Linked DNA regions of Diceros bicornis minor. The protein of the gene in region 1 binds, or shares a complex with, the protein of each later gene. Links are inferred from orthologs where the notes say so. Each region holds a gene or a part of one and is shown in the gene's direction. Other genes may lie near its edges.

Evidence for each region.
Region 2: RUVBL1 (region 1) and MBTD1 share a complex: the UniProt entries of both Homo sapiens proteins name them as parts of the nuA4 histone acetyltransferase complex. The link is inferred for Diceros bicornis minor from reciprocal best matches to the Homo sapiens genes RUVBL1 and MBTD1.
Region 3: RUVBL1 (region 1) and ANP32E share a complex: the UniProt entries of both Homo sapiens proteins name them as parts of the SWR1-like complex. The link is inferred for Diceros bicornis minor from reciprocal best matches to the Homo sapiens genes RUVBL1 and ANP32E.
Region 4: RUVBL1 (region 1) and ASDURF share a complex: the UniProt entries of both Homo sapiens proteins name them as parts of the PAQosome complex. The link is inferred for Diceros bicornis minor from reciprocal best matches to the Homo sapiens genes RUVBL1 and ASDURF.

The regions. Positions count from the first base shown.
Region 1 is NC_080741.1:92,873,024-92,880,263, reverse strand, and holds the start of RUVBL1 (ruvB-like 1), read left to right. Parts: upstream 1-4,228; 5' UTR 4,229-4,305; coding exon 4,306-4,446; intron 4,447-7,240. UniProt on the Homo sapiens protein: Possesses single-stranded DNA-stimulated ATPase and ATP-dependent DNA helicase (3' to 5') activity; hexamerization is thought to be critical for ATP hydrolysis and adjacent subunits in the ring-like structure contribute to the ATPase activity.
Region 2 is NC_080757.1:35,216,935-35,224,404, forward strand, and holds the start of MBTD1 (MBT domain-containing protein 1), read left to right. Parts: upstream 1-4,450; 5' UTR 4,451-4,622; coding exon 4,623-4,643; intron 4,644-5,270; exon of another isoform or gene 5,271-5,334; intron 5,335-7,470. Other genes in the region: UTP18 (U3 small nucleolar RNA-associated protein 18 homolog), read right to left, coding at 1,840-1,952, 3,547-3,888. UniProt on the Homo sapiens protein: Chromatin reader component of the NuA4 histone acetyltransferase complex, a multiprotein complex involved in transcriptional activation of select genes principally by acetylation of nucleosomal histones H4 and H2A.
Region 3 is NC_080743.1:54,715,677-54,722,719, reverse strand, and holds the start of ANP32E (acidic leucine-rich nuclear phosphoprotein 32 family member E), read left to right. Parts: upstream 1-4,030; 5' UTR 4,031-4,331; coding exon 4,332-4,385; intron 4,386-7,043. UniProt on the Homo sapiens protein: Histone chaperone that specifically mediates the genome-wide removal of histone H2A.Z/H2AZ1 from the nucleosome: removes H2A.Z/H2AZ1 from its normal sites of deposition, especially from enhancer and insulator regions.
Region 4 is NC_080749.1:68,663,778-68,671,718, forward strand, and holds the start of ASDURF (ASNSD1 upstream open reading frame protein), read left to right. Parts: upstream 1-4,933; 5' UTR 4,934-5,013; coding exon 5,014-5,103; intron 5,104-6,636; coding exon 6,637-6,690; intron 6,691-7,937; coding exon 7,938-7,941.

The DNA.
Region 1 (7,240 bases):
TTGAATATGATGTGTGTTTTAAGATGGTTAAGATTGACTATGCTTAAATCCTCTGGGGAATGATCCAGAAGAACAGATGGAAATACAGGAAAAGAAGGCTAATGGGTGGAGTGAGGCCTCTGAGAGATAGAGTGAGGCCCAGATTGTTATCTGGAACCCAGTTAGTAGGGTTACCTTGGCTAGGAGGAAGGTCATGTCTGCCTTTGAGTTAGGACACAAGGAGAACCCTGCAGTGCCTGGCAGATAGAATCTTAGCGACTAAGAGTTGTTTCCCAATATCTTCCCTTTTTTACATAGGAATAGAATTTTTAGCTGGGCACATATCTGTCCAGATAAAGAATACATTTCCCAGCCTCCCTTGCAGCTATTTGTAGCTATCTGACTAAGTCTGACCATTGGGATATGAGTAGAAATAATTGTGCAACTTGAGGTCAAGGTAAAGGGTAGGAGCATGTCCTCCCCTTCCCCCTTTTCTCCTTCTTGCTGGTTCAAATGCAGCCTTTTCGGGGGGCTTGCCCAGCTATCTTGGACCATGCAATAGAAGGCATGTGTGTGGAATGGCAGACTAATAAGACAGAAGGAGGACAGGTCCTTAATGATTATAGAGCCAGCCCACCAGGTAGAATGCCTGCTTGGCCTTTCTGTGAGAAAAAGTAACTTCTATCTTGTTTAATTTACTATTATTTTGTATCTCTTGGTTACTGTAGCTGAACTAATATCCTAATCATTACTTGGGCAGCTCTGAGTGCTCAGCTGAGGCTGAAGACCATGACAGTGTAATGGCTCCATGGGACCACTGGGTAATTGCCTCCTGCCATACACAGCAGCCTTCATGAGGCAGTGGAGAAGGCAGAGGTAGGCTGGACCTGGGCTTGTGGGTTGAAAGGTCAAGTGTGAAAGAAGTCAAGGCAAGGAGGGAGCAGAAGGGTTGGAAACCAAGTGGTTGAGATGATCAAGCTTGGACTGGAGAAAAGAAGGGTTGAGGGCCTGGAGGTGAAAGAGCAAGGGTCATGGGAGTGAGAGAATGAGAGCTGACAGGTCTGGGGTTGTCACACAGCACAATTCTGGAATGTAGCAGTCCACACAATTACTCGTATATGTGTCATTGCACTGATACGGATTTTCAGTACCCACAGACAGAAACCTAACTCAAACTATTTTAAGCCCCAATGTCACTGCCATATTACATTGCAAGTAGGGCAAGGCTTGGTCTGGGAATATAGAGGATTTCATCAGGAATCTCTGTCAGCTTTCCTTTCTTTTGTGTTGGCTTCATTCTCAGGCAGAGTCTTCCCTTGAAGTGGCAAAAATGACCTCGAAACCCATGACCCAAGTTCTCTTTCCTGGTATTTCCAGTAAAAGTGCCATGACTGTCATTGGACAGCTCGCTCACATTCCCACACCAATCACCATGTCCAGGAGGATGGGATAATTTGATAGGCCAGGCAGGTCCCGTGTCCATCCCTGAAACAAAGCTGGGGAGTGGTGTCAACCCATCCAAAGCACTTGGACTCAGAGTCGGGGAAGGGTGGTTTTCTAAAGAAAATTTGAGTGATGGTAGTCAGAAGAAGTCAGAAGGATGACAGGTAGGCAAAATAACCCATATCAACTACTGTGGCCTCTCCTGCCTTTCATTCACCTTGTGTGTCTTGGACGTTGGCCCATCACATAGTCTTCTGCTAAAATGAAAGGAACTGCCTGGCTCTGCAGCCAGGTCCAGCTTCTTTGCACACTGGATATGGGGTCTGGGCCATTGTCAGGCAATTGCTCGATTTGTGACCTTGGACAAACTCCATCCCCTCTTAGGGCCTCAGTTTCCTTACCTGTAAAAGGAGAATGCTAGGCCAGATCAGTGATTTTCGAACTGTTCTTTAGCAGTCAAAAAATGGAACAGCTCTGGTGGAAGGGGAGGCAGGGGCATTGAACAGGTATCCTGCATTCTTAGCCTTCCCCTTCCTCACTCATGCTGGCCATGAAAGAATTCTATAACTCCAGGGAATGTGATATGAAAACCACTGGACCAAGTGCTCCTAAGGATTCCTCTGAGTTCTAAAATCCTTATCTCACCCCTCACGTCCATATTTGGCTAGAAGGAAATCCTTCTCTTTACTTTGTGTCAAAGTTTGGGGCTTAAAATAATAAATGTAAAAACGGTCTTCTCCCCTAACTGGACAATACACAAAGAAGTCAGTCCCATTGAGTGGCTCACTTTGACTACTAGTTGGGGGAAAGGCTTCCTCTTCCACATGGTGAAAGGAATTGCTCCTCACCTATGCATAATGACCAGGAATAGGTCAATGAGATGCTAAGCAACCTTCTGGGTGGTCCTAGAGGTGATATCCCTAAGGTTGATGAGTCACAGGCCACCAGTAACACCCGCAGCCTTCCAAGGCCTTGCCTCTGCTCTTTCAGGCTCTGAAAATGCCAAAACATTCTATTCATTGACAGAAACCAATTACCAAGTCCCATAAAACCCAGTGTGTTAAATACATGCAGCAAAACTGCATGACTTCAAGTGTGTATGTGGGGGTCTAGAATCTTATTTGAATTTATAAGAAGACTTAATTGTGAGCCAGGCTGTGTGTCAGGCACTGGGATTAAAATGATGAACACAACGGGGCTGGCCCGGTGCCACAGTGGTTAAGTTTCCACGCTCCGCTTCGGTGGCCCGGGGTTTGCAGGTTTGAATCCCAGGTGTGGACATATGCACCACTCATCAAGCCATCTGTGGCGGCGTCCCATATACAAAATAGAGGAAGATGGGCATAGATGTTAGCTCAGGGCTAATCTTCCTCAGCAAAAAGAGGAGGATTGGCAACAGATGTTAGCTCAGGGCCAATCTTCCTCACACACACACACACACAAAATGATGAACACACATGTGATCTACACTCTCATAATGCCTGTAGTTTAGTGGGAGAGACAGACATTGACCCAATAACCCTGAAATAATTAGAAACCTAAATTCAAAAGTCGTAATGGAGAAGTACAAAGAGACGTGACAGTCAGAAACTACCGCATCTGGATTCGACTTTAGGTCTGTCTCAACCCTAATGCAAGCTCTCCTAAACTCTGGGCAAGTCCCTCCTTTCTCTAGACCTCAGTTTACTCATCTGTAAAATGGTGGCATACTATCTGCTTCTGAGGAAGTCTTACCCATTCATCAGGGTTTGGCCCAGGCCAAACCTCATGATGCCTTCCCTGGCTCCCCAGGCTGTTCAGGGTGGCCCTGCTCTGGGCTTGTACACCACGTGGGTGTACCTGCTCCCACACATCTCATGTTGCAAGTTTCCCAACTAAGGACTAAGCTTGTCAAGGCTGGAGATTTTGTATTATATCTCCGTATCCCCAGCGCGTTGTAGTGTGGCTCACAGCAGGTGCTAACACATGTTTGTTGAATGACGAGATGGATGGGAAGAGGACACTGTGGTGCAGGCAGCGTTAACATCATTATGGAACCTGAGGGGACACATTTGCAGGCTGATTGTCTCACCTGAGGTCGGAGCATGGGATGAGGATTATCCAGGCTGTGAAGCCTTAAATCCTCAGCTGGAGTTCCAATTCTACTGATTATTTGCTGTACCTTCTTCGCCGGTTATTGGGCCTCTTTTAGCCTGCGTCTTTATATATATTAGGAATTATACTACCTTACAGGGTTGAAGAGTTTTGGAAACTAAAATGTTATTCACAGCGAACTTAAATAAAGGGAGAGGGCGGAGGCAGAAGCAAAGTTCCGCAGCGGACGCTGAGCGGAGCCAGGGTGAGAGCAGTTGGCCGAGCTGGGCCTCCGCAGGGAGTTGCAAATGCTTGGAGTCAGACAACAGCTCAGTAAGCAAAAGTCAAAGCTTAAGCTCTAAACCTCAGTTTCTCTATCTCCAAAACGGAGGTAATAACTTGAGCTTCGCAGAAGGATATGACGTTCAAATGCAAAAATGGATAGGATGGCACGATTAAAAGCCGGACTCCAGGCGCCCACTTCGCTGCAGCGCCACAACCCCTGATCATCCTGCGGGCGCGACCGCTCTGCGCTCTCGCGCCACGCGCCAGAGCAGGAAGCGCCGGCTGTGGGAAAGCCAACTCCGTCACACAGCCGGAAGTGGGTGGGCGGAGCCCTACCGGCAGCCGCGATGGGCGCAGCCGTGAGCCAATGGGGAGCTGAGGCGTTCCCGCTTCCGCCAATGGCGTGCCGACCAAGGCGGGCCTTGACAAACCGCCCTAGTAACGGCCGCATGGTAACCCAGGCGCCGAGCGTGGGGTCCTAGCTCCAGGTTTTCCACGCTGGTTTTGGCTTCCGGCATCGGCAAGATGAAAATTGAGGAGGTGAAGAGCACCACGAAGACGCAGCGCATCGCGTCCCACAGCCACGTGAAGGGGCTGGGGCTGGACGAGAGCGGCCTGGCCAAGCAGGCCGCCTCGGGGCTCGTGGGCCAGGAGAACGCGCGCGAGGTGTGGTGGACCGGCCAGGGAGTTGGGGCGCCGAGCAGGGCCCTGCCGCGAGAGGCCGCTGACGGGGGCGCAGGGAGGGGCGCGGGGATGCCCCGCCGAGGTTTTCTATCAGGGCGGTGAAAATGGGCTACGGGGGACGGCAGGGGGGCGCCGCATTGGCACTGGGAGAGGGGCGGGCGCAGGAGAACAAGTGACGTCCCGCGGGGCGGTTGACTGGTTGCTTCACCTCATTGACGGGTCTTGATTGAGCCCCCCACTCCGTGCCGCCATCTCCGCGCGACGCTGGCATACAGCGGGGAAGAAGACGGATGAGGTCCCGGCTCTCATGGAGCTTACATTTTAGTGTGATGAGAGACAGGCGGTAAACGGTTAAGCCAGTAAACAAAATAATTATTATACTTTGGTGGGGGTCAGTTCCTGCAGGGTTTTGTCGGCCGTGATAAGGAATTTGGATTTTTGTGAACGCACTGGGAGGCTGTGGTGGTTTTAAAGTAGAGAAGTGATCAACCTGAAAAAGCTTACTTAGGTTCCCACGGCTTGGGAGCTGAAGGAGGGAAGTGGGAGTTATAGAGAGGAGCAATCTGCTGTACCCACACCCCTAGCATTCTTTTGGCTCATACCAAATAAATCCAGTTTTATTAAGTGGCAGTGATGCCAGGTCCTTTCGCCTACATTATTATTATTATTTTTATTTTTTCCCCCAAGGCCCCAGTAGATAGTTGTACGTCATAGCTGCACTTCCTTCTGAGTTGCTGTATGTGGGACACCGCCTCAGCATGGCCGGAGCATGGCCGGAGAAGCGGTGTGTCGATGCGCACCGGGATCCGAACCCTAGGCCCCCAGCAGCGGAGGCGCGCACTTAACAGCTAAGCCATGGGGCTGGCCCTTTTCGCCTACATTATAATCACAAAACTATTCAAGCTTTTTGTATTTTTTTGCAGATGAAATAAATGAGGGTGGGAGAGGTCACTTCACATACCCACTTGCCACTCACTTTAGTAATGGTAATGCTGGGCTTTGTACCCGTGTGTGTTTCTGCCTCCCAAATCAGTGCTCTCTCTGTGATAGTTATAGCCACCCTCTCAGCTTGCTGAGCACTGTCAGACCCATGCCCCTTGCCTCTGACATGGCTTAGCACCCACAGGAACCATTATTAAGTAATAATGAGGTTAAGACTATTGCCTCCTAGCCTAATTGTGCTAATACAAAGGGCCAAAGAAAAGCCTCTGTTTTCCATTTTGAACATGATCTTTCCAAAAAGGAAATATTGACAGAGTCAGGGTGACTTTGAAATGTCTTTTTATCCATCTTCCACTTACTGAGGACCTGTTAACTGCAAATAGCTAACACTGGTTGAATGCTTGCTTTGTGCCAAGCATTGTGCTAAGCAGCTTTATCTCCATTGTCTTGCTTTTCACCTCCACCCTAATAATCGTCCCTTCGCCACTTTCTTATGACACTTTTCAGACATACAAAATAGTTGAAATTTCAAGACTTATATGGTGATTACCTGTGTATCTAAATTCTACAATTAACATTTTACTCAATTGCTTTATTATATCCATCCACCATTTTTCCATGGTGCTGCTCATTTATCCATCCACCAATCCACTTCTGCTCTTCAAAGCAAGTTGCAGACGTTAGTACACTTTACCCATAAACTCCTTGGCATTTGTGCCACTAACTATATTAGGAACTCTGTTTTCAGATAAGGAAATTGTGGTTCACAGAGGTTAGGTAGGTAGGTCACAGGTCACTCAGCTGGTAATTGGTGGAGTAAGGATTTAAACCCAAGTCTATCTGACTCCAGAATCCATGCTCTTAACTGATGCTATCTGCCTCTGTATGAATATGAGCTTCCTGAGGATACAGACCAGGTAATGTTATTATATACTCAGAACCTGACTCATTACCGAGGCTTGGTATTTATTTATTGAATTAATAGGCATCCCACCTCAGCTACTGGGTCCTTGTATAACTTTGGTCACATCAGCAGCCTCCCTGGTGCTTAATATCCTCGTGTGAAAAATGAGAGACTAGGTGATCTTTTAAAGGCCCTTTCAGTTCATAATTTTTAAATTTTAGAATTCACTGAACATATCTCTCTAGAGAGAAGGAGCCTAAACTGAGGGAGATTAAATGGAAGAGGTGCAAGTGTGTGAATAAGAATACATAGCCGGGGCTGGCCCCGTGGCTTAGCGGTTAAGTGCGCGCGCTCTGCTACTGGCCGCTTGGGTTCGGATCCTGGGCGCGCACCGACGCACCGCTTGTCCCGCCATGCTGAGGCCGTGTCCCACATACAGCAACTAGAAGGATGTGCAGCTATGACATACAACTATCTACTGGGGCTTTGGGGAGAAAAAGGGATAAAAAAGAGGATTGGCAATAGATGTTAGCTCAGGGCCGGTCTTCCTCAGCAAAAAAAGAGGAGGATTGGCATGGATGTTAGCTCAGGGCTGATCTTCCTCACATACACACAAAAAGAATACATAGCCAAGGTTTGGGAAGTCTCTTCTACCTCTTTTGAGTTTCCCGGAGTTCCACTGCTGAGGATTATGATATCACAGGGTTCTTTGGAAAGACCATAGTGGTTCTTTTATCTTTTTAGAAATGCAACATCTGAAGAATAGCTTCTAGGCTCTATTAAGGGCATTGTGCATTTCCAGCTGAGTCAGAAATGGTATATAGCACATCCACATGCATTCCTTGAACCCACATTTTTTGAAGGGCTATCTAAGTGTGGGACCATGGTACTTCTCCACTGGGGAATGGTGTTAGAGGAGATAAGATGTGT
Region 2 (7,470 bases), on another chromosome or scaffold:
CCAATATTTCAGATCATCTAGTTTACCCTTTGAACAGCTTACATTTCAAATTCATAATGACTTATCTAGACACAGCTTATGCCATTCACCAAAATAAATTCCAAGCAAAATAAAGAGTTAAATACATAACAACCAAATCTTAAAATACTATGAAGGAAAAATACAGGCAAACACTTGTCTTTCTCTGATGAAGGATTTTTTACTGTTAAAAACAGCAAAAAAAAAGAAAAGATTCATAAATTTGACTATATAAAAACGTAAATATTCTGAATGTCAAATATTAAAAACAAAATTAAAAGGCAAACAGAAAGCTGGGAGAAAACCTGCAATAAATTTGACAGATAAAGGTTTGAAATTCTCAATATGTAGGGAGCTGATATATGACAATCATTAAGAAACAGTCTCATCCTGCCATTTTTGACAACATGGATGAATCTGGAGGACATTATGCTAAGTGAAATAAGACAGACACAGAAGAAAGATACTGCATGACCTCACTTATATACGGAATCTAAAAAAAGTAGACTACACAGAAGCAGAAAGTAGAATGGTGGTTACCAGGGGCAGGGAGGTGGGGGAAATGGGGAGATGTCGGTCAAAGGATACAAAGTTGCAGTTATGTAGGATGAATAAGTCTAGAAATCTAATGTACAGCAGCATGACTATAGTTAATACTATATTGTATACTGGAAATCTGCTAAGAAAGTAGATTTCAGGTGCTCTAACCACAAATAAAAATAGTAACTATGTGAGGAGATAGATATGTTAATTAGCTTGCTGTAATAATAATTTCACTATGTATATGTAGAGCAAATCATGTTGTACACCTTAAATACATACAATTTTACTTAAAAAATAAAATAAATAAAAAGTAACAGTCTCCAATAATCAAAGACATAATAGAGAATACTTTTAATAAATACCAATGACTAATAACAAAAATGTTTTCTCAACACAAATTAGGTAGCTATCTCCCACCCCTTAAACCGACAAAGTCTGAAGAAAGATAAATCATTGCTTATAAGAACGGAGTGAAAAGGCAAACCTTTCAGTGGGAAGGTCAACTGGTAGAACCTCATGGTCAATCTGGCAGTATTTATCAAGAGCCTGAAAAATGTCTGTGCTCTTTGATTAAGTATTTCCACCTCAAAGAATCTTTCTTAAAGAAATAATTAGAAAAGTGGAAAAAGGTTTATGCATAAAGATGTTTATCTCATCATTAATTTATTAAAGAGAAATATCAGAACATCTGTCCAACAACAGCTATATAAATTATGGTTAATTCATACAATGGACAATAATACACTCATTTAAAAATGTTGATAGAGGCTTTTTTTTAAAAGCAGGAGAAATGCTTGCAATACAGTAGATTCTCATCTATTAAAGTACATACTGTGTGCGCTAGCTAACTTTTTTTTAGCCTTTTCTCGGTTTCAGGCATCGTGCAAAGAGCTCTACATACACTATTTCATTTAATCTCAAGAGCCTTCTGACATAGTCACTATTATTACCTCTATTTTACAAACAAGAAAACAGAGATTCTAAACATGCCCACAGTCAGTTAGGAACTGGCCAAATTGGGAGGCAAACTCAGGTCTGACAGCAAACACTGCTGTCCTAGCTATTCTATACCGCACTGAAAAGACGGGAAGAGAAGTATGCCAACATGCTATCAGTGGTTCTACCTCAGCGGTGGGATTATGAATGACTTTTCCATACTTTCCAGTATTTTTCAAATCTTCACATAATCGCATATTCTTAAAAAGAACTTTTTTAAAACCTGCAAAATAACTTTTAAAGTACCCACAGGGATTCTGGAAGAAAAATTATGCAACTTACATTTCCTCATCTTCATCTTCTTCATCCACCCAAACCGGCTTCTTCTGAGGTGGAAAATTATCTTTTGCTTCATTCTCCACTTCCGAGTCACCTGAGTCTTCCTGTACTTCAACCTAGAGAAGACAAAACCCCCTCAAGCACTGTTTTTCATATCCTGTGGTGGCAGACAGACACATTTTGTAGTTAAGATAGCTTACAGAATGCTCTGTTTTTTACAGCCCTCTCATGAAATAATGGGACAGAATGCCACCACAGCAAATGCTGGAGGCAGAAGACAAAATGAGGAGACTAGAGAATGTCACCACACGCTGGACAGGCGAGGTAAGAGGGAACAGTCAGGGAGAGAATGTCAACATGCTCAAAGGAAAACACCAAGTAAGACAAAAACAACAAAAGGTAAGCAGACAGATGAAGGAGCAGGAAAAAATCCACAACTGCAGAAATTACGGGACCAGAGGCAAACTAGCATCCAAGACAAAATAACATGATTGAATGTCATAATTAATTAGGATTTCATATTCTTAGACACACATCTCCATTTTTCTTAAGTTCTTGACCCCCTACCTCCTTAAGAAACTTTATACTGTACAATCAAATCTAAATCCAGACCACAGAACATCCCCTGAAACATGCTTGATCTTTCCCAAAACCACACGATGATTTCTACCTACTCTATTAAAGACCTACGATCCTTCAAAACCCAACAAATTCCACCTCTCATAGACCGTTTTCCTGACTAGGAAACTGTCACACAGTCCAGTAGTTCTTCTCTATCTCCCAACTAGATTTCTGCAGCTTCTCCCATAAGCACCAAAGGAGGTTCTGGCAATCAGTTGATACTTGCTAGGTCCGCCTTCATTTACCAAACTGAGTCATTCTCAGCGAGGCTTTGCCTGACCACCCTACATGAAATTTCACAAGCCTCCTCAACACACACTTAGCTCCCTTTCCCCAATGCTTTCTTTCTGTCTTAAGCACTTGCCACTGACATAATGATTTTTACTTATCTCCTTTATCTTCTGCCTTTGCAACTAGTACATAAGCAGGGATTTTGGTCTATTACTGTGTCTCCTCCAGTGCCTAGAACAATGCCTGGGACTCCCTACCTTGGAAGAAAAGCCACGTATAGATACAAGGGGTGATAGAAAGAGTAGAAAAATTATAATCAATTACGCAGGATTTTCATCGCCAAAAAAAGTATCTGGCACCCAGCGGGCTCACAAATATTCGTTGAATAGACAAATAAGCACACGGTCATTCTCAAAAGCTGGCGAGACTTGGGGAGATGGTTAAAACGCAGATTCCCAGGCCCGCGCCCGCAAATTCCGATTCTACAAATGAAGCGGAACTCCCGAATCACGGCAAGATATTGATGCAGGTGATCGAACAACCACGAGGGAAGAAACCCTTCGGAGTAAGGATGGGGGAGCTGAACGCGAAAGATGCTCACGACCACAGTTCGCGAAACAAAGACGTGTTGAGCGCCTGCTGCATACCAGGCGCGGCGGCTCACCCGGGGGCGGAGAAAGGCGCGGTCCCCGCCCTCCGGAGACTCACTCTGGCATCCCCGGCGCCCGCGTTCTCGGGCTCCCTCCCACCTGAGGCTCCCCGGCGCCGCAGGTCGCCCAGACTCCGCCCCCGGAGGCTCGCCGCCCACCGCGCGCCCCGCCCGAGCGCGCCCAGCCCGCGCGCCGCGGCCTCCCTCACCCGCGGGCCTCGCAGACGCCGCAGCAGCGCGTCCTCGTCGTCCTCGACGTCGCCGAAGACCAGCTCCTCCAGGCACCGCTCCACGGCCGGCTTGTCCTCCTCCAGCGTCAGGCGGTTCCGCTGCCGGAGCCGTCTCTCCTCCTCCGCCGCCGCGACTGCCATCGCAGCGGCCGCTGCGCTCGGCCGAGCCGGCGGTTTCCGCTGGGATGAAGGAGCAGCCTTTCGGGGAGGCCCGCCTGGCCCCGCTCCGGTTCTGCGGTCCGGCCTCATTCGGGTCTTCCGGTCCGGCCTCGCTCCGGTTCTTCGGTCCAGTCTCGTTCGGCTCCTCCGTTCCGGCGGCATCGTTGGGTTTGAGAAGAAACGCAGGAGCTCACGTGGAACCTCACTGCGCGTGCGCCGAGGCGCCTCCCTGTCCGCGGCGGCTGAGGCCCCGGGGGGCCGGAAGGAGCCTGCGCAGCCTGCTACCACGTGACCAGCACTCTCTTCCCTACGTAACGCCCACTCTCCTCACGTGCCCCTCCCCGTATGGGAGTTCCTCCGGGAGGACCAATCTTCCGGGTGGAGGGGGAAGCGGCGTGAGCGGAGTGGAAAATTTTTTCCAACACATCGTCGCAGCTGCAGCTGATTGAAAGGAGCACAAGCAAGCCAGAGTATAAACTGAGATGATCGCGCGAAACTTCTGCTCCTCCTCCTGACTTGTTAACCAGTCGACTTAACACGAGCCCCAATTGCCTTTCCCCCCCCTTCGTCTTGGTACGGCCCTTGGAGTACGGAGCCTGCAGAGGGTCCCACGCTGGAAGAGAGAGAGGAGGGTATGTAGGGAAGTGGGCCAATCGGGGCGCGGGTCACGGCGCAGGCGCGCTGGGGAGGGAGGGCTATGCTAATGTTGTTGATATCCTGGGGCCACCCGAGTTAAAGGGGGGAAATCCGGGGGCTGCCGCAGCCGCCACCGGTCTGGGCCCAACCGGGGGCCCCCTGTAGTCGCCGTAGTCCCGGGGAGAGGCGCCTGCCCCCAGCTCGGGGAGGGGGCGCCGCTGGCCCGGGGAGCACGGACAACCCCTACCCATGAGGCCCTGATGGAAAACACAAAGGATCTGGTGAGAGCCGAGCGCGGCAGCCGCTTTGTGTGCCAGGTGGGGGGGACGCCTGCAGCTCCCGACCCCCAGGAACCCCTGCAGCTCCCTGACCCCGCTCCCAGGCCTGCTTCTCCATCTCACGCCCCCTCCATCTCCGGAGCCCCCCTCCCCCTACCGGCCGTTAAACGATTCAGGGGTTCCCCTCCCCCCACCCTTTCAGCCCCGGACTCGTCGGGGTTCTCTCTAACCCCCTCCACTCTCTGGAAGAAAAATTTTAGAAGAAAGTTTTTCTCTGCGTCCCGCCTCCCCTACCCCTTCAGCTCTGGCTCGGGGGGGAAAGGCTGGATTTGAGACTTTTCCTTTTTTGCCACCCAGGGTGGGAGAGTGTTCTCACTTCCCCCAGGGGGTCATAGTTTTGGTGCTTTGCAGGGGAAGGCGCCTGTCCGCTTTGGGGCGAGTGCTGCGAGGCATTTTGCACGTGGAGGTGGAAATCTTGAAAGGGGGCGGGGTGGGCAGATGTGGGAGGGAGAGGTGGGAGTGGTGTTTAGGAAGCAGCCGCCTGGGCCGCTTATTTAACAGGGTTCTAAGTCGGTGGGCTTCTATGACCGTTGCGTTCTCTTGTGTGAAATAAGAATCCTAACATTTCAGAGTCGGAAGAGACATTAGAGGTCACCCAAAGCAGCCGTCCCCTCTGCAGCCTCTCTGACAAGTGGTAGGTAGTCTGGCCTCTGCTTAAACCCTACAAACACTGAGCTTTCACTGCTGCCCAGGAAACCCAGTGCGTTTTTCAGTTGTTCTCGTTGTTTGTCTGCCCTTATTAGACCCTTCAGTCTCATTCATGTGCTTGTTAAGTTGCTCCGTTTTTTACTTCTCAAATTTTCTCTCACATCCTCCTCACCCACCCACTGCTCGTTGGCCTATATTTTGTGTGCCAGGAAAGAACAGCAGGGAAGTGGAGGAAGGAGGATTTGAGAGATAGTGAGGGCCAGCTGAAAACTTTGCTGGGTCAGTTTCAAATGTGGTGGCTTATATGTCTGAGAACCGCTATTTTTCAACAGGAAGCTTGGGAATTACGGTCTGGGATTTCGTGGCTGTTTTCTCTCGCTAGTGCATGTTTTCCAGGTTAGAAATTTCAGCATCATCTGTATAGTTCTTGTGTCTGAAAGCACATTTGCCTGTTGCCTAAATCGCTCCCTAAGGATGCCTAAAATTGCCTCTTGGGGATAGTACTGAAGCTGTTAGAAGCATGTCCTGGTAGAGGGACGGTCAGTAGAAGTGCTCCTCCTTCCCCTTCTTGACCTATGTGTTCCTTTCAAGCTGGACTTCCTTCTCAGGGCCCCTCCTTCACAATGCTTTCGTTTCTTTCTTTTCTTTTCTTTTCTTTTTTTTTTTTAACTCTTAGGAGATTTGGAATTTTTGTAACACTTTAGTAGTTGCTTAGAGTTTGCAATGTTTTTCATGCTCCTTACATTAGTAACACCAGTATTTATCACTCAGTTGTTGAGATAGTTTGGTTCTTGCTATTGTCACTTAGTGTTTTTCTAATGTTCTCCTTCATTTGGTGAGCTACGTTGCCTCCAAAAGTTTTATTGGTATAAGAATCTTGGGGGCACATAGTTTCTTCTTCCTAATATGGTAAAGTGGGAGTCAAGACATAACAGATAAAATGTAGAAGTCATGAATCTGGTCTAAAAGCCAGAGAATAAATTTCAGTTTAAACACCCGGTCCCCTGTTTAAAATGTTAGAGCAGAGGCCTTTTTTTCTCTCTCCCGTTTATGACTTAGAGACTGTTGCTCTGCTCTAGTGTGCTTAGGCTGTATTTTTTTTTTTCCCTGTTTGTTTACCTCAACACCAATGAGTGTTTAGAAAGAAAATAGCTGTCTTTTTTTGCACCACCTCCTCTGAATAACAAGTAGCTTCTATTTATATAAAACCCCATCCTCAAGGCTTCTGGTGCCTTGCAAATTATGGCAAAAACTATCTTGAATAAGTATCTGTTCATAAGTATGTTATGTTGGACCATGTTTTTTAACATCCAATTTTTAATTTTATACAAACTTTGACTTATAATATTTCCTCTAAATCTAGTCACTGGAATGTAACGTGGAAATGAATACTGGATACTGAAAAAACTGATAGAGCTGTATAATTCTGTCTTTAAAGCTGTAATTAATGAGTTCCAAGTTATTTTCCTGCTTACTTTAAACATGAACTGTCATGACTTAAGTTGACTGACTTTGGAGACATTTGCATTCTAAAGGTACTAGACAGGAACAACTGGTTTTATTTTTAAAGAAGACAGTGTTATAGTTTTTATGGCTGGTTATATGTTGACCTGATTAGTGTCTAAACTGTCCTAGATGTTCAAATGCTTCTAATCCTTCAGTTACACTGGAAATTAAAGCAATTTAAGTTGTTTTAGAATATAACATAGTAGTGAAAAAAAGGTAAAACTATAGCTTAGACGTGAAAACAGCATATTAATGTCATAAATACTAAACCACTAAATTACTATGAGCCACAAGTACTCAGTAGTTTGAGTGACCACATTCTAAAATTAGACAAGTCACTATCCTTTTGGTTGCTCTTTGTTTCTCTATTTTTCATCCTTAAAATGTTTGCTAAATAAGATTTAACCTTTTCACATTTATAGTTTTAAGGTAAACCAGTTAAAAATGTATCATTAGTTTCAGGATTTCAAATCCAAGAGAAAGATAAAAACATCAGGACAAAGAAGAGGAAGGACTTAAAATAGTTAAAACAAGCTAAGATATGCCTGCTAACACCAGGGTATTCTTAACTGTCCAAGGTTACCTTTAATTTTATACCGAGATGGCAGATTGGTTT
Region 3 (7,043 bases), on another chromosome or scaffold:
ATTTTATTATCTCTCACGGTTTCTGTGGGACAGGAATTGGGGAAGAGCTCAGCTGGGTGGTTCTGGCTCAGGATTTCCTATGTGGTTGCAATCAGACAGTGGCTGGAGCTGGAAAAGTTGGGGGCTGGAGAAGCCGGGGGCTGGGTGGGTACCTCTCACTCTCTTCATCTAGGCTTGAGGCTTCTCCACATGATTTTTCCTATAGGTTAGTTTGGGCTTCCTCAGAGGGTAGGTATTTGGAGAGGGCCAGTGTCATATGTTGGGTTCCCCAGGAAGTAGACTCTGAGATGAAAACAGCAGTCAGGACATATATTGGGGAATGATATTGGGAGCAATATCTGTGGAAGGGTGGAGAAGGAAGCAGGATTAAGCAGTGGGAGAAATTGAATGGCAATGTAGTCCTAACAAAGGCCTCAGCCAACCCGCGGCGGGTGCTCTGGAGCTGGGATCAATGACCCTTCAGAGTTTGTCTAAGTTGGGCAAAAGGGCTGGCTGGGCCTTTATATCTCTGCGGTGATCACTCATTGGATGTGGGCTGCCCCTAGAAGAGGGTATATATAACCCTGGGCAAGGCAATTTTCTTCAGCCGAGGTAATCCCCTTCAAGGCAATCCCCTACAGCTGAAGGTCATCTTCCAGCAGTACTCCCAGTACTAGGGGGAATAAGTCCTTCATTCCTGAAGAAATTTCTGGGAGATGCATCACAGTGTTCACCACAGCCCTGACAGGATCTGTGGCTTTCAGTAGAGGGACTGGGTCCTTTTGTAACCACCTGGCACTGAGGAAGTTGGGGAATAAATGCTCCCACCTCACCATCCTCCAGACTTCCGATCTCCTGCCAATGCCTCTCCCCCATGTACCAAACCCAGCAAGTCATAGGACTCTGGGTTTTGAGTCACAGAGCAGGGTGGATGGAGAAGGGTGAAGAGTGGATCTGGAGGGGCAACAGAAGATGTTCAGCAGCACAAGATGAGTTTAGTTTTTGAACGTTAAGGACATGTTGAGGGGCCGGCCGGTGGCTTAGTGGTTAAGTGCCCGCGCTCCGCTACTGGCGGCCGGGTTTGGATCCCAGGCGTGCACCCACGCACTGCTTGTCTGGCCATGCTGAGGCGGCCTCCCACATACAGCAACTAGAAGGATGTGCAACTATGACATACAACTATCTACTGGGCCCTTGGGGAGAAAAAGGTAAAAAAAGGAGGAGGATTGGCAATAGATGTTAGCTCAGGGCCAGTCTTCCTCAGCAAAAAGAGGAGGATTAGCATGGATGTTAGCTCAGGGCTGATCTTCCTCACACACACACAAAAAAAGGACCTGTTGAGTTAAATAATATCCTGATGCATGCTTCTTTTTGGTGGATTAAAGCAGTGTTCTGAACCACCCTCTCATTCATTCCACTCCTTGCTCCTTTGCTTTCATCCACCTCCTAATTACTTAACCTCACTCTTCATTCTACCATTTAAACCCTGCCTCATTACTTCAGCTTCAAACATGTTCTAAGTTCATGAGTTGGGCTTTTCTCCTGACTATATTTCATTTTTTCAGCCTTCATTTAGCTCCATACACCCATCTACAAGCCTGGTAATGTTCTTCATCCAGCCTCTTCTCAGGCACCTTTCTTTCTGTGCACCAACCCTATGGGGAAATCTTTCCTCCCCCAGCATTTTATTTATCCTGGTTTCTTGATTAAGACTGGAAAGAGGTAAGTTTCAAGGTACTGAGATAATACAGATGAGAGATGATATGAGGGTGGGGACAATGGTTATGGGGAGAAGGCCCATTTTGGTGGATCCCTGTCTAAGCTTACTATGGTGTACTTTCTTTTTTTTTCTTTTTTTAAAGATTTTATTTATTTTTTACCCCCAAAGCCCCAGTAGATAGTTGTATGTCATAGCTGCACATCCTTCTAACTGCTGTATGTGGGACGTGGCCCCAGCATGGCAGGAGAAGCGGTGTGTCAGTGCGCGCCCGGGATCCGAACCCGGGCCACCAGCAGTGGATCGCGCACTTAACCGCTAAGCCATGGGGCCGGCCCTATGGTGTACTTTCTGAAGCTACTATCCAACGGTAAAATGAATTCATGGCCTTTTCTCACCTTCATTCTTTCCAGCATACTCTCCCATTCTGTCTAATGTGTTCCAATACAAAAGCCCTACTATTTAATCCCAATAATCATCTCTTCTTTGAAGCTCTTTGGCTTCCCTACATTTTTTCCGAATTTACCTCCTTCTTTTCTACCTGCTCCTCAGTTTCTTTGATTACTTTGGTAGAGAATCCCTCTCTCCTCTCTTTCCCCTCAACCATATTTTGATCTCTTCTGCCTGATAGTCTTCTTATTATACATATTCTCTGTGGACATCTTATTTTTTTCTCATGGCCTTAACTATCACTTGTATGTGCCTGACTCCTAAATCTGAATCCCCTTCCTTGAACTTTCTCTGGGATTCCATTCCAGATTCCAGACCCTGCAGTGGCTGGTGGGATCAGAACACAGGACTTCTTCCCAAGCTGGAACTAAAATGTGCTTTCAGGTTTCTTTTTAGCCAGTTTTTTCCTTCCTTTGTTTTTTAACTCTTCCTTGAACCGTTCCTCAATCCATTTTGGTTCAGTTTTCATATCATCCTGGGTTTCTTTAGTCTGTATTAAAGCAAATAAACAACAAACAAACTTAACTAACTCCAAATTGCCCTCCAGAGATTTAATTTTATACCAAAATCTCTCTCTTTGTTTTCATCTTCACAAACTTTCCTCTTTGAGAATTCAAAGGAAACACTTGGCAAGGGGAAGACAATCACTATTTTGTTTTCTTTTAAAGTATTTAACATGCTAAATACCAAAGATTTACATTTTAAATGTAAGCCTATTTGAGGAGCTGTGTGTCTCTGTAGCGGGGTAGGAGGGGGTGGTGCTGGAGTGGTGAGGAGTCTGTTCCGGAAACCCTAAGGTCTCTAACCTGAGAAACTGGAAAAATATCAAATAAACACTCAGCTCTGAGAGGGGCTGGACTAATTCACCCACTTCCTTCCCCAAATCATTTGGAATTTCTTTGGGTATTTATCCTGAGAATGGGATAAGGGAATGAAAAGGACAGAATTTAAGCAAGAACTAAGAAAAGTTAGACTTTCAAGACATAACTTAAAAAATTATTCTTATCCCGCTCTTTTCTCTCTCACATTGACAGACTTTTAAAAGCACGTTTTACCTACAGATTTCCATGGAAACCACCAAAGGGAAATTAGAAAGGAGAGGCATTGCAGTACCATTTCTGTGCGAATTGATGTTTGATTTTCATTAGGCTAGCACTGTTTTTCCTCCAAGGTTTTAGTGTTTATTAAAGCAACAATTATCTCAGTAACAATTCCTCCAGGGTAGTTTTATTTAAAGGTGCCTAACCTATATACTTCACCCAACTGCTTTCAAAATCGTTCAGTCCTTCATGACGGAAGTTAACACACATCTTTATACCAGCTTGGTTCTGCACCAGCAGCCTGTCCCCGGCAGGGCAGAGCCACGAAGGCATGCTTTTTGTGTGATGTGCACGTTGCTGTGCACCTTGGCTGCAAAGCAGGAGCTGTGCTTTAAAATGGCTAAGAGCCAGTACATGCCCTGTGCTGAATTATCAGTCACGCAACCTGGCCACGCAAGAAGGATGCTTTCTCCCTCCCGTTAACACTAAAACGAGAAAAAAACCCAACCAACAAATCCAACAGGCATCAAAACCTTCCCTGCGCCTAGGGAAAGCGCGCCAACCACACAAAGAAAAGAGGGGGGCTACTGGGATTCAAAATCATTTCCCCGGGACGAACACCCTCCTGGACCTATCGGAGTTAACTGCGCGCTTGGTCGTAGCCAATAGACACAGTGTTTCTGGTTCAGGTCCGCCCTGAGGACGGATAGACTTTTATGCAGTCCAATGGAAGAGTGTGATGCTGGAGCATTAACCAATACATTCGGGAGGTGGGTGGAGTGTAGGCCAGGGGGTTGGCGGTGCCGTGTCATGGAGGCTCAGTCTCTGAGCAGCCATTGAAGGGGAAGGAACTGCGGTGTGTGTGTGTGTGTGTGTGTGTGTGTGTGTATGCGCGCGCGCGTGTGAGTGCGCGCGCGAGTGTGTGGACAAGGAGGTGGGGGCAGCTGAGTTAAGAGTCCCAACTCCTTGGACTCCATTTGATATTCTCTTTTTTCTCCCCCACACCTATCTGGTGGTGGTGGGCGTTTATATTTGCGTTTCTTTTCATTCATTTCCAAATCTTTTAAAATTTTAGGGTTGGGGGTAGTGGGAAAGGCAGGAAAGGGTAAAGGAGGAGAGTAGTAGCAGAAGAGCAGGAGGAGGACATGGAGATGAAGAAGAGGATTAACCTGGAGTTAAGGAACCGAGCCCCGGAGGAGGTGAGATGACTCAGCCCCCTCCCCTTCTCCACTAGCCCCGTATTGGGAGGATCGGGTTTCTGGGGGTCCCGGTGGGTGTGTGGGGAGGGGTAATGAATTAAGACTCACTTGGGGTTAGGGTTGGGGGGAAATATTTAATTTCAAGTTTTAAATCATTAAAATCTTTTACTTAAAATGGCGAAGGGTTTAAGTTTCTAGGGGCGTTTTGTGTGTGCATGGGGGCTTAGCCCTTTTCGCCTCTCTTCGAGTCAGGCGTCCTGGCCTCGTGGGGGCGGGAAGCGGGGTGTTGGGGCCCGCTCCGCCGCTGCGCCCCCCATGTTCCTCCTCCTGGGGGCCGGCGGCGTGGGCGCGACCCCCCAGTCCCGCTTGCCCCTGCCGCAGCCATCGTTGCCTGAGAAGTTAGTCCAACTTTTCTGCAGTGCTGCCAACTCTTTTATTTAGGCGGGGGGGTGCCCCCGGCCTCGAGGCCCTTGGGCGTCCGACGACGTCGCGCCCGGCGCGGGCTGGGGTCGCTCGCGGAGTCCGCGGACCGCCCGCTGCCGGCTGCGCCCACTCCCCCGGGAAGCGGCGCGCGCCGACCGCCGCCAGGCGGAATCTGGGTCAGCGGCCGGTTCTCCGGCCGTGGGGAAGTTTTGGGACTCGTCGCAGTGACCAGAGGTGGGGAGGGGACGCGAGGCGCAATCCCCTTCGTCCCCCGCGGTATAATGAAATTCGGCGTGTCGTGTCGTGGTGGCTGCAACTCCGAATTTGGTCCCGGGAGACGGTTTCACAAAACTCAACAAATGGGTCGTAGTAGTTCTGCGCTTTAAAGATGGGTTCGGCGAAACGAAATGATGCGCTCTCGCTGCTGTCGCCTTAGTTAAAGAGACGGGGTTGGGAGGGGCCACGTGAGGCGGGGTCGCGGTCAACTTTTCAGGGGTCGGGCAGAAGGCGTTTCCGCCTCCTTTTCGAGGGCGCCTCCTCAGCTTCCCCCAGCCATCCCCGCCCCGGGTGGGGGCGCTAAGGGAACACGGGCTGGGAGGCGACCCCTTTTTCCCTGGGGAGTCTCCGCCCCGCGTGGGGTTTCCCGTTGGTCGGAGCGTAAGGTCGAGAGAGCGGGGCCCACGGCCAGCAAGGAACCTTGCACTTCTGGAAGCAGAGGAAAGCGTCAAGAGTCTTACTAATTAATTGCGGCCTCTGAAATAAACCTTAGAATTGGAATGACAGAGATATAAGTTTTTTTCAACAAGGGTGGAGGTGGTGCCTGTGCATACCAGCATTGGGGACGAGTGGGGTCTGTCCGGTGGGCTGCGGCGGCGTGCAAACTGGGAACCCAAGATCTTTATGTACTTTTCAAAAAAAGTCTGTTTTCCTGAAATTGGCAGGGGGCAGGGAGGAGGAAACAGCCGCTGCTGTCATCCCAGAGAGAACTTGAAGTTTTCTACGGCCTTCTCTTTAGGGGCTTCAGGAAAAAAACAAATCAAACTTAAAAAGCTGCCTCTCAGGAGCACACATTTAGAATGCTTTTTTATGTTTTGGGTTGGAAAAGCGGATTTGTGTCTCCCCCGCCTTCCCCCATTCTTTTACCTACCCTATCCGTAGTAATTTCCTTGCCAGTTTTGGGGAGTGCCGGATGTTGCCTTTTTGCAGCCTCTCCTTCCTCTCCTGTGGTGTAATAACGGTCTCTCATATCTATATAGCTCTTTACAGTTTACAAAGCACTTTTCTTGTTTGTTATTTACTTTTGTCTTTCGGACAGACTTGTGAGGTGGATTGTATTGTATTGTTCTAGAATCCAAATTAGCAAACGGAGTCTCAGGGCAATGAAGTTATTTAGGAAGAACTGGTTTTCTGACACCAAATCTAGTGGCCCTCTCTCCTCCATTCAGCTCAAGTAGGAGTCAGAAGACTTGGAGTGGAGGCACGGCTGTGCCACATAATAAGTATGCGGTCCTAGGCAAGTCATCCTTACCCTCTGGGCCTTTGCTGCCTCATCTCTAAACAGGAGAGCATGATGCCTTCTCTGCTTACTGAAATAATTATGTCCAAGTCATATTCAAATAGAGAAGGTGGCATCCCTTGATGCTAATTTTTAGCCCTCAGAATACCTCAAAAATATTTTTGCATTGGGAAAGGAGAGCCAGAGTCTCCTGTCTCCTCCTTAAGATTAAGTCCATTTAGGCCCACGCCAGAAACTTTGGTTCTACAACTCTGACCTAACAGAGGATCCATCTCCCCCTTCCCAAGAATGGGGAGAAGTCACCAAAATGCTACCAGAGTGGCAGGGAGAAATAACATTTTGTCAAGGATGTATTGTTCTGGGTGATATTGTTTGGCCTCAATATTAGAACAAATAACATTCGAAAGCTGGACTGTCTCAGAAGGAGCTTTCTAACATTTCTTCCTGAAGGATAACAAGGTATTTTTGAGTTATGGTGGCATTTATCAACCAAAGATAAGGGCGTTTAAATTGAAAAAGTGAATAAAACAATTTCCTTTCGTCTCCCTGCTGTTTTGGGCAGCTCGCTTGAATCCTTTCCCAGTAGCCTGGGTATCCCCTCAGTGCATAAATATATGCCCTGATGTTGAGAATCCTTCTTATCATGGTCAGAAACAAGTTTCACATGGGACCTTTTTCAAAGTTTTATTTTTTATGTGACAGTGATTTGAAGCAGGCAT
Region 4 (7,941 bases), on another chromosome or scaffold:
TCACCTCTGACAGAATTCATGATGCAAATCACCTACATAGATTACAATAATACCTCTTTGATTTTACTTTCTGGTTATTTGGTCCTAGAGCCCATCCCAACTCCCACCCCATGCAATTTCCAGTTCTGTCTGCTTGCTGAGACCACCCTTTGACCTGCTCATCTAGGATTCTTAAAAGAGTCTGTCGCTCAGTCTGTCTCCTTTCAATTGGCTCCAGTTAGTCCTACCCCATCAGAAATAACAGAACCATCCAATTATTGTGACAACCAAAAGTGCCTCCAGCCCTAGTCCTGTTGAAAGCACTAGAAGAGAGGACATATCTTCAATAAGAAATGGGCCAAGCATTTCACAGCCTGGTTCTGTCCACTGCATTGGTTCATGAAACTTACTTGTGTCAAATTTGTCTGGCAGAGCTTCTGATTTATCTATTAAACACACACAGATTGTGTTTACTATGTGCCTAAAGCTGTTAGAACCACTCTACAAATATTAACTCATTTAATCCCCATAACAACCCTTTGAGGTAGGCACTATTATTACTCCCATTTTACAGATTAGGAAACTGGGGCTTGAGAGGCTAATGAGATACCAAAGTCACACTTGTAATAAATGTAGAAGCCAAAATTCAAGCCCAGTCATTTTGGTTATAGGTTAAATGCATAACTATGTTATGCAGCAGACAGTTGCATCCCATTCCCAAAGATTTGATTCAGTAAATCTGGGGAAAAGACTGAGAAATCTATAGGCATCTGAACAAGATTTTCAGGGGCTCTGATATACTGAGAAGGGCACCCACAGACTAACTGATACTTGGGAACCACAGCACTATTTCACACCTCATTGGGAGAGACAGGAAGGAGACTTCTGTGGCTAGAAATAAATCTGTTAGAGTATACTGAGAAGGCAAGGAAAAACACAGTGGTTGAGGAAACTATTCATTCAACCTTGGAATCCAGGTTAATAATACACATCACTTCCATAAAATGTTCAACAGTGAACTATGTATTGTTAAACACAATGAAATATACTAAGAATGTAGCATCAGAGGAAGAGCATAAATAGCATTGATAAACACAAAATTATCCTATTAAGTAGGATACATGACAACAATGGACTTAAATGAAAGAAGGAAACAGCCTAGTTAGTTGTACAGTGGGCTGCAGATGGGCAGTCCCGAACCAGAAAAGACAAACGATACCAGGTATCCCTAAAGCGTGACTTCAACCAACGCAGGAATTACAGCAGCTGAAGGGGAAAAGAGAAGCAATTGGATAAACATGAAAAAATAAGATAAAATGTCAAAGAACTTTGAAAACAGTTTAGCACCATACTAATATGACCATCACCACTTGGTTTAGTATTATGTCATCTTGGGTGGCCCCTGTAAATAAACAAAAACATTAGAACCAGGCAGAGCCATAAGCAACAACTCACCCCCAGAACAAGGTGAACAGCTGTAGACCCATCAGCAGTGTTTCCGGCCACTGAAAATGGAAATGATTGTGGGTCAAAGAGTCAATTCGAACATTACCCAGAGCTCCCACTCTGCCAGCCACTGCCATAGAAGGTGGGGTACAAAGAAGACTAATATGCCATACATATTAGAGACTAATTTGAAGCTCAGTCTCTTCAGCTTTACAGATAAGCCTCACCTTTACCTCCAAGCACTAATAAAATGACATCCCATGTGTCAGGGGAGGTGTGTTCATAGGTTCCCACCAGCTCAACTGTGGTGAACTCTAAAGGTGTTGGTGAATGGAGCCAGAAGATGGGTTAAAAGAATGCCAAATTTTAGTTTTTAATTAATATAATATTTGGAAGTAAAGTTTAAAAAAAATAATTATCTTGTGACTAAAGCTTCAAAACTGCGTTTTGCCAAAGTTTTAACATATTTCATAGTTTCTTTTCAGGATCAGGTATTACAAATCAAGGCAAATAAAATCCGCTTTCATCAAACCTTCTCCAACTTGCTATACTTCCTCAAGTTTCATCTTTTACTGTGCTCTTTCATATTCTGGAACAAAAGGATACTTTACTTTAGAACTATCTTTTTCCTTGCAAACAAGGCTCATCCCATTACCTTGCATTCTCTGTTACTCTTGCCCCTAATGTGATCTTAGCCACTCACATTAGTTATAACTTTTAACCAATTTAATAACTTCTATTTCATAGAAAGAACTGGAGGTAGATAATTGAGAACAGTCATATGCAAGCATTTTAGCAAATGAAGCTCATAAGTACACATAACACAACTGTCTACAGCCACACACATTCCCTTTAAACCTTCTGAAAGTGGGAAAAATGAACATGTCCATTAACATGGCTCAAAAGGATAGCTATTCTATGGCAAATAAAAACAAGAAGCAAAAGTATATAAACTTAAAATTATGCTTCTATTAATCAATGTTTCAGGATTCAACTTTTAAAAGTAAATTATCTAGTTATCTAATGATTAATCATTAATTAACTCAATTTAATATTACCTCAGAGTTTTAATTACCTAAATATTTTTGAATTATGTTTAAACTTATATGGTATAAAACATAATTACTGTTGATCTAAAAAGTCTGTCTGAATAATTACTCGTTTTAGTGAACACAAATTTACATTTTTCATAAACTTAAATATTCCATAGCAGTAATGCTAGCTTATTTAATCAGTAAACCAACATAAAGAGCATAGGAAATTCAGATTAGCTAATCTCTTCATGAGAAAACAAATCTAAGTGTTATTTAAAAAGTACCTGTATTTTACTTAACATTGATAAATATAGAAAAGATATATAATTGCCTTTTCTTTCTTAAACCAAAATTATTAATCTAGCCTGATTTCTCCAAAGACTCACCTTAATTTTATAAATTTGGATTCTTCAAATATTTCTAAGCTAGCAGCTTTTGTAAGCAAGACTTTTTTTCTTATAAGTCTAGCACTCAAAGTATTAGAAATTCTGGGGGCCGGCCCCGTGGCTTAGCAGTTAAGTGCACGTGCTCCGCTACTGGCAGCCTGGGTTTGGATCCGGGCGCGCACTGTCGCACCGCTTGTCGGGCCATGCTGAGGCCATGCCCCACATACAGCAACTAGAAGGACGTGCAACTATGACATAAAACTATCTACTGGGGCTTTGGGGAGAAAAAGGGAAAACAAAGGAGGAAGATTGGCAATAGATGTTAGCTCAGGGCTGGTCTTCCTCAGCAAAAAGAGGAGGATTGGCATGGATGTTAGCTCAGGGCTGATCTTCCTCAAAAAAAAGAAAAAGAAAAAGAAAAAGAAATTCTGGGCTTTTTTTAAATTGGGAGATTTACACAAATGCATATTTGTGTCTGTAGACCAATCAGAACAGAGTTCCTCTAATTTAAGAGACATTACAATGGAATTTATTAATACCCTCCAGGAGTATGAAAACATTTTACATTCACACAACAAGATATAAAGGCTATTCTAAATTATAGACACAGAGAGAGCTTATAGCTTCAGTTTTACAACCTCAATCCCAGGTTGAAAGTAAACACAAAAACTCACTAGCCCAGATCTCAAAAACCTGTTCTCCTTTCCAGTGAGCATGAAATTCTTAATTAACTTGAGCTCACAAAGGACAAACAAAAAGACTAAAAAACTGGATTCACTGTCATGTCTTTTCTAATAGAGACTAGATCTCCATCATCCAACAGATATCACCAAATCATTAGACCATAAAACCAAATTCCCAATCACTGCTGCTACCCATGTATAATAACTTATCAGCCATGCGTAAATCAGAAACAAAACCAAAATTTCTAAAAATCAGTAAAAATTAAAAATATACAGTAAACAGTTCTATAACCACTTCGGATTTACTGTAAGAGGCAATAAAAGAAATGCCTGGGCTGAAACAACCCACGACATACACTTCCTTAGCCATACAGTTTGGCTCCATCACATGAGCTCACTTGGGCATCTCCATGGAAACTTAAGATTTCTTATGTTAAAGTATAATTTTCAAAAATATAAAACCACGTCTCTCATACACATGTAAAATGAACATAGGCCAAAGTTTTATTCAGCTCGTTAATTAATGAGGGAACAGGTAAGATGTTAAAACCAATTCAGAGAGTTTATGAGAAGCTAGGCATATATAATAAAGAAATGTTAGGATAGGATTGCAGAGTTAGATACAAAACTGCTTAATATATTACAGAACAATAATTCATAATCTGTGGGGTTATCTGGCCCACCAGATAGAAATTATTTGCATCTCTGCCAGACAAAAATCTGCACGTTTACCTCTGCCTCTCCAGAATTGTTAAAATACCCCAGTCAATAGAAAGTCAAGCCCAGAAAAGCTGTGAAAGAACACCCAGTAATCTCTCGCCTATTTCCAAGTCTTGGATAATTTTTCTCATTGGAGCGAGATTCTGAAAATATTGCAAGGGACATACTTATACTAAAAAATCATTCATTTATCTGAAATTCATATTTAACCGGGCATTCTGTATTTATCTTTTAACTCCAATAACAAGTTAACAAAAACTTCACCAAGTCTGTACAGTTCTGTTGCCAAAAACGTGTCTCTTAAATCTGTGCCTAGCTTCACATCCTTGCCTAGATAATAAATATTGTCTAGTTCTACTGCGCTTCTATTCTTTATATTGACCACTGGGGGGCGCATATAACTCACAGTCTACAGAACGCGAGGGAGTGGAGACCACAAGGCCGTTTCCACAGCCGATCCGCTAGCGGACAGTTCAGGAACCTCTCCGATTTCACAACCAGGCTCTGCTCACGCGCTCCCTAAGCATCTGTGCGCACGCGCGGAACTGCTCCCACGCCAAACCCGGACTGCGCAGGCGTTCCAGTGAGTGCGCAGAAGCTATTGGTAGGACTCATAGGGAAGGAAACGAGGGGGTGGAGCCGCTGGGAGCGCGCACGCGCGGAGGCTGGGGGCTGAGGGCTGGAGGCTGGAGGCTGGAGGCACCTGGGGAGGCACCTGGGGCGCCAGCTGCGCTGCGCGTCCCGCGTACCGTTCCCTCGGTGGAGATGCCTAGCCGGGGCACACGCCCGGAGGACGGCGCCGGGCTGGTCCCTACCGACGACTCAGCCCCTCACAAAGAGGATCTTAGCAACAAGGTGAGTGTGGGACGAGGCGAGCGGCCCGCAGGCTCGGGACGGAGCGCCGCTCAGCCCCGGGGGAGGTCTGCCGCGGCCGCGTGGCCCGCTCTCGGCTTTGCCCAGCTGCTTCTCTCTTGTTATTCTTAGCGTTCGACAGCTACAATTAAGGCAGACCCTGAAGTTTGCACCGAAATTAGACCCAGGAGGCAGTGAGGCGGAGATTTGGTTGGGGTTTTTTCTCTTTATTTAAACTTTTAGAAATACTGCCCACCCCAGATCTGCCGCCGATGTTCTCTATCTCAGAAAAGTCACCGCCAACCATCCAGTTGTCCGTGCCAGTAACCCGGGAACCATCCTTGACGTCCATCGCGAAGTCCTGTCAGTTCTGCTTCTGAAGCTCATTTCAAATATGTCCGTTTATCACCAGCCACCTTCATCTACCCTGCAAAGGCTTCCTAACTGGTCTCGCTTCGTCCATCATTACCTTCCATTCTCTTCTCCACATCAGCCAGAGCAATGATCCTAAAACACGGATTTGATTGTCACTCCTCCATCCAAAAAGGGGGCAGGAGGTGGGGACAATATAATATATATCTTAACTGCCATAAACAGACAAAACCTTTAAAAAATATATAGGAGATGGGGATGGTTATAGCTTTTCAGGTGTTAGATGTCCTAGATTCTACTTTGGTTCTGTCCCAAACTAACAGTGACATCTTGGGCAAGTCTCTAATAACCCCCCCCAAGGGTGAATTTTCAAACCTCATACAGCCCACTCTGATTACTACCAGAGCAAGCCACTTATACTGATGTATGACAGATGCCTGAGGTTCCTGAGGTAGGACAAAGATTTTATAAAACCTGCTTTTAGAGGCAATAGTGATACTATGTAATCAGTCATGTTCACAGAATAACTACCTTTACTGAAAAGAGTTAGAAAAAAAACTTTGTTTCCACTTAGTGGAGCCCTCTCCTATTTCGAGGCCTAGTTCAACAGTGCCAGCATTGTGTTAGTCTTTGAGATATAAAGAGGAATAAAGCAAAGATGGAAAGTGATAGGTCTTACTGCCCCAGGTAGGGCATTTAGTACCACTTGCTTGTTCTGAATGTCTGGCTGCACCATTTATACATAAATCATGAAAACCATTGGTATTGGGGGGGCGAGTAACTCACCCCTCATTCCATTTGCTGGGTTTTTTTCTTTTTTTAAAGCTAAAACATAAATCATTGAAAAACTGGTATTACTTTGTGTGCATATTGTGTAACTAAAAGGTATAAACCTTGTTTAGTAACTACCGCCCTTGCCTGGATGCTGGTTACCAACACCAAACTCCCTGGCTGGGCTCAATGGGCTAACACTTGGCAAGTCTACTCATTGTTTCCTCCTCCAACTCTGTCTCCCCCTCCTCGCCCCAGACTGCTGTTGACAAGAGTCCGCATAGTCACAGACTGCCCGTTATGGCCCCTATCCCATCTCTCTAATTTTAAAGCACCCTCATTGAGCATACTTTGAGAACCTCTGATTTAAGATGTTTTTCTTTATTTCAATAGATTAAAGAACAAAAAATTGTTGTGGATGAACTTTCTAACCTGAAGAAGAACAGGGTGAGTTATTGGAGTAATTCTGAATAGTATGTGGGAGGGTTTGATTGTATCTTATTAACTATATACAAAAGTTAAAAGAATCATATATGACTTATATTTATATTAAAATTTACAAGATTTCAGCATCTTTTTAGTTAAATTGCAACAGTGAAAAGCATCCAAGATTTTATATATATATCATATATAGATATCTATAGATTAATCATAGTTGATGATATCTTTTCCCCATCATGTGCAATTCACATTACCTTTGAACCAAATGATACAAATTGTACTGTGGTATCTTGGAGCTATAATCAGTAATGTTATTTATTTTATACTTGAATGTGGTATTTTCTTTTGAAATAAGTGAATTTTATGTTGAGAAGAGTGGAGACTATTTCTAAGTGAATGTGGATAATTGTTGGAAAAACAAAAAAGATAAATGCTTCCCCTCCCTGCCAAAAATTTTTACACAGATCTTCCAAATATTTAACATGGTTATTTAATGCTATTTCCATTAATGTATTCATAACAAGCAAGCTACTACTTCATGTGTAGTTATACTATCAAAAATTACATTTTAAAGTTCAGGAAGAAATTATTTTGAGCCCTTTACAGCATTTTAAAGATAATTTGATAACTGACAGGTTAGACATTTCTCATACTGTCACTTGTGGAATATTAGAAGTTAAGGCACAATTAATACAAACTTTCTAGAGGGCAAGTTGGCAGACTGCTTTATTGAAGCTTAAAACTGTGTAACACTTTGACCCAGCAGTTCCATTTATAGGAATTAATACTTAGGAAAGAATCATGGGAGTGCACAAAGATTTAGTTACAAAGACGTTCATCACAACATTGATTTATAATAGTGAAAAGTTGGTGACAACTTAAATGTCTAAAACTTGAGGACGACCAAATAAACTGTAGTATGTTATACTCATATAGTAATGTAAAAGAACACTTACTACTGAGAAAAAGTGTTCTCAATATATTGTTCAGGATAAAAGCAAATTATAAGTCTGTAGTTACAGTAGCCTTTTTTGTTAAAGAGAAATGGTATTGTGGTATATGCAGAGAAAAAGTGTCACCTCAGTGTGAATGGTAGCAGTTTCTAGATGGTAGGATAATGGGTGACTTTTGTTTATTTGTATTTGCTAAGGTATATGTTACTAAAGTTCAAGAATAAGCAATAATAGGGTTCAGAGATTTGACATCTACTTTTTAGATCAAATCATGATATTAGCCTAAATTATGTTTTGCAGAAAG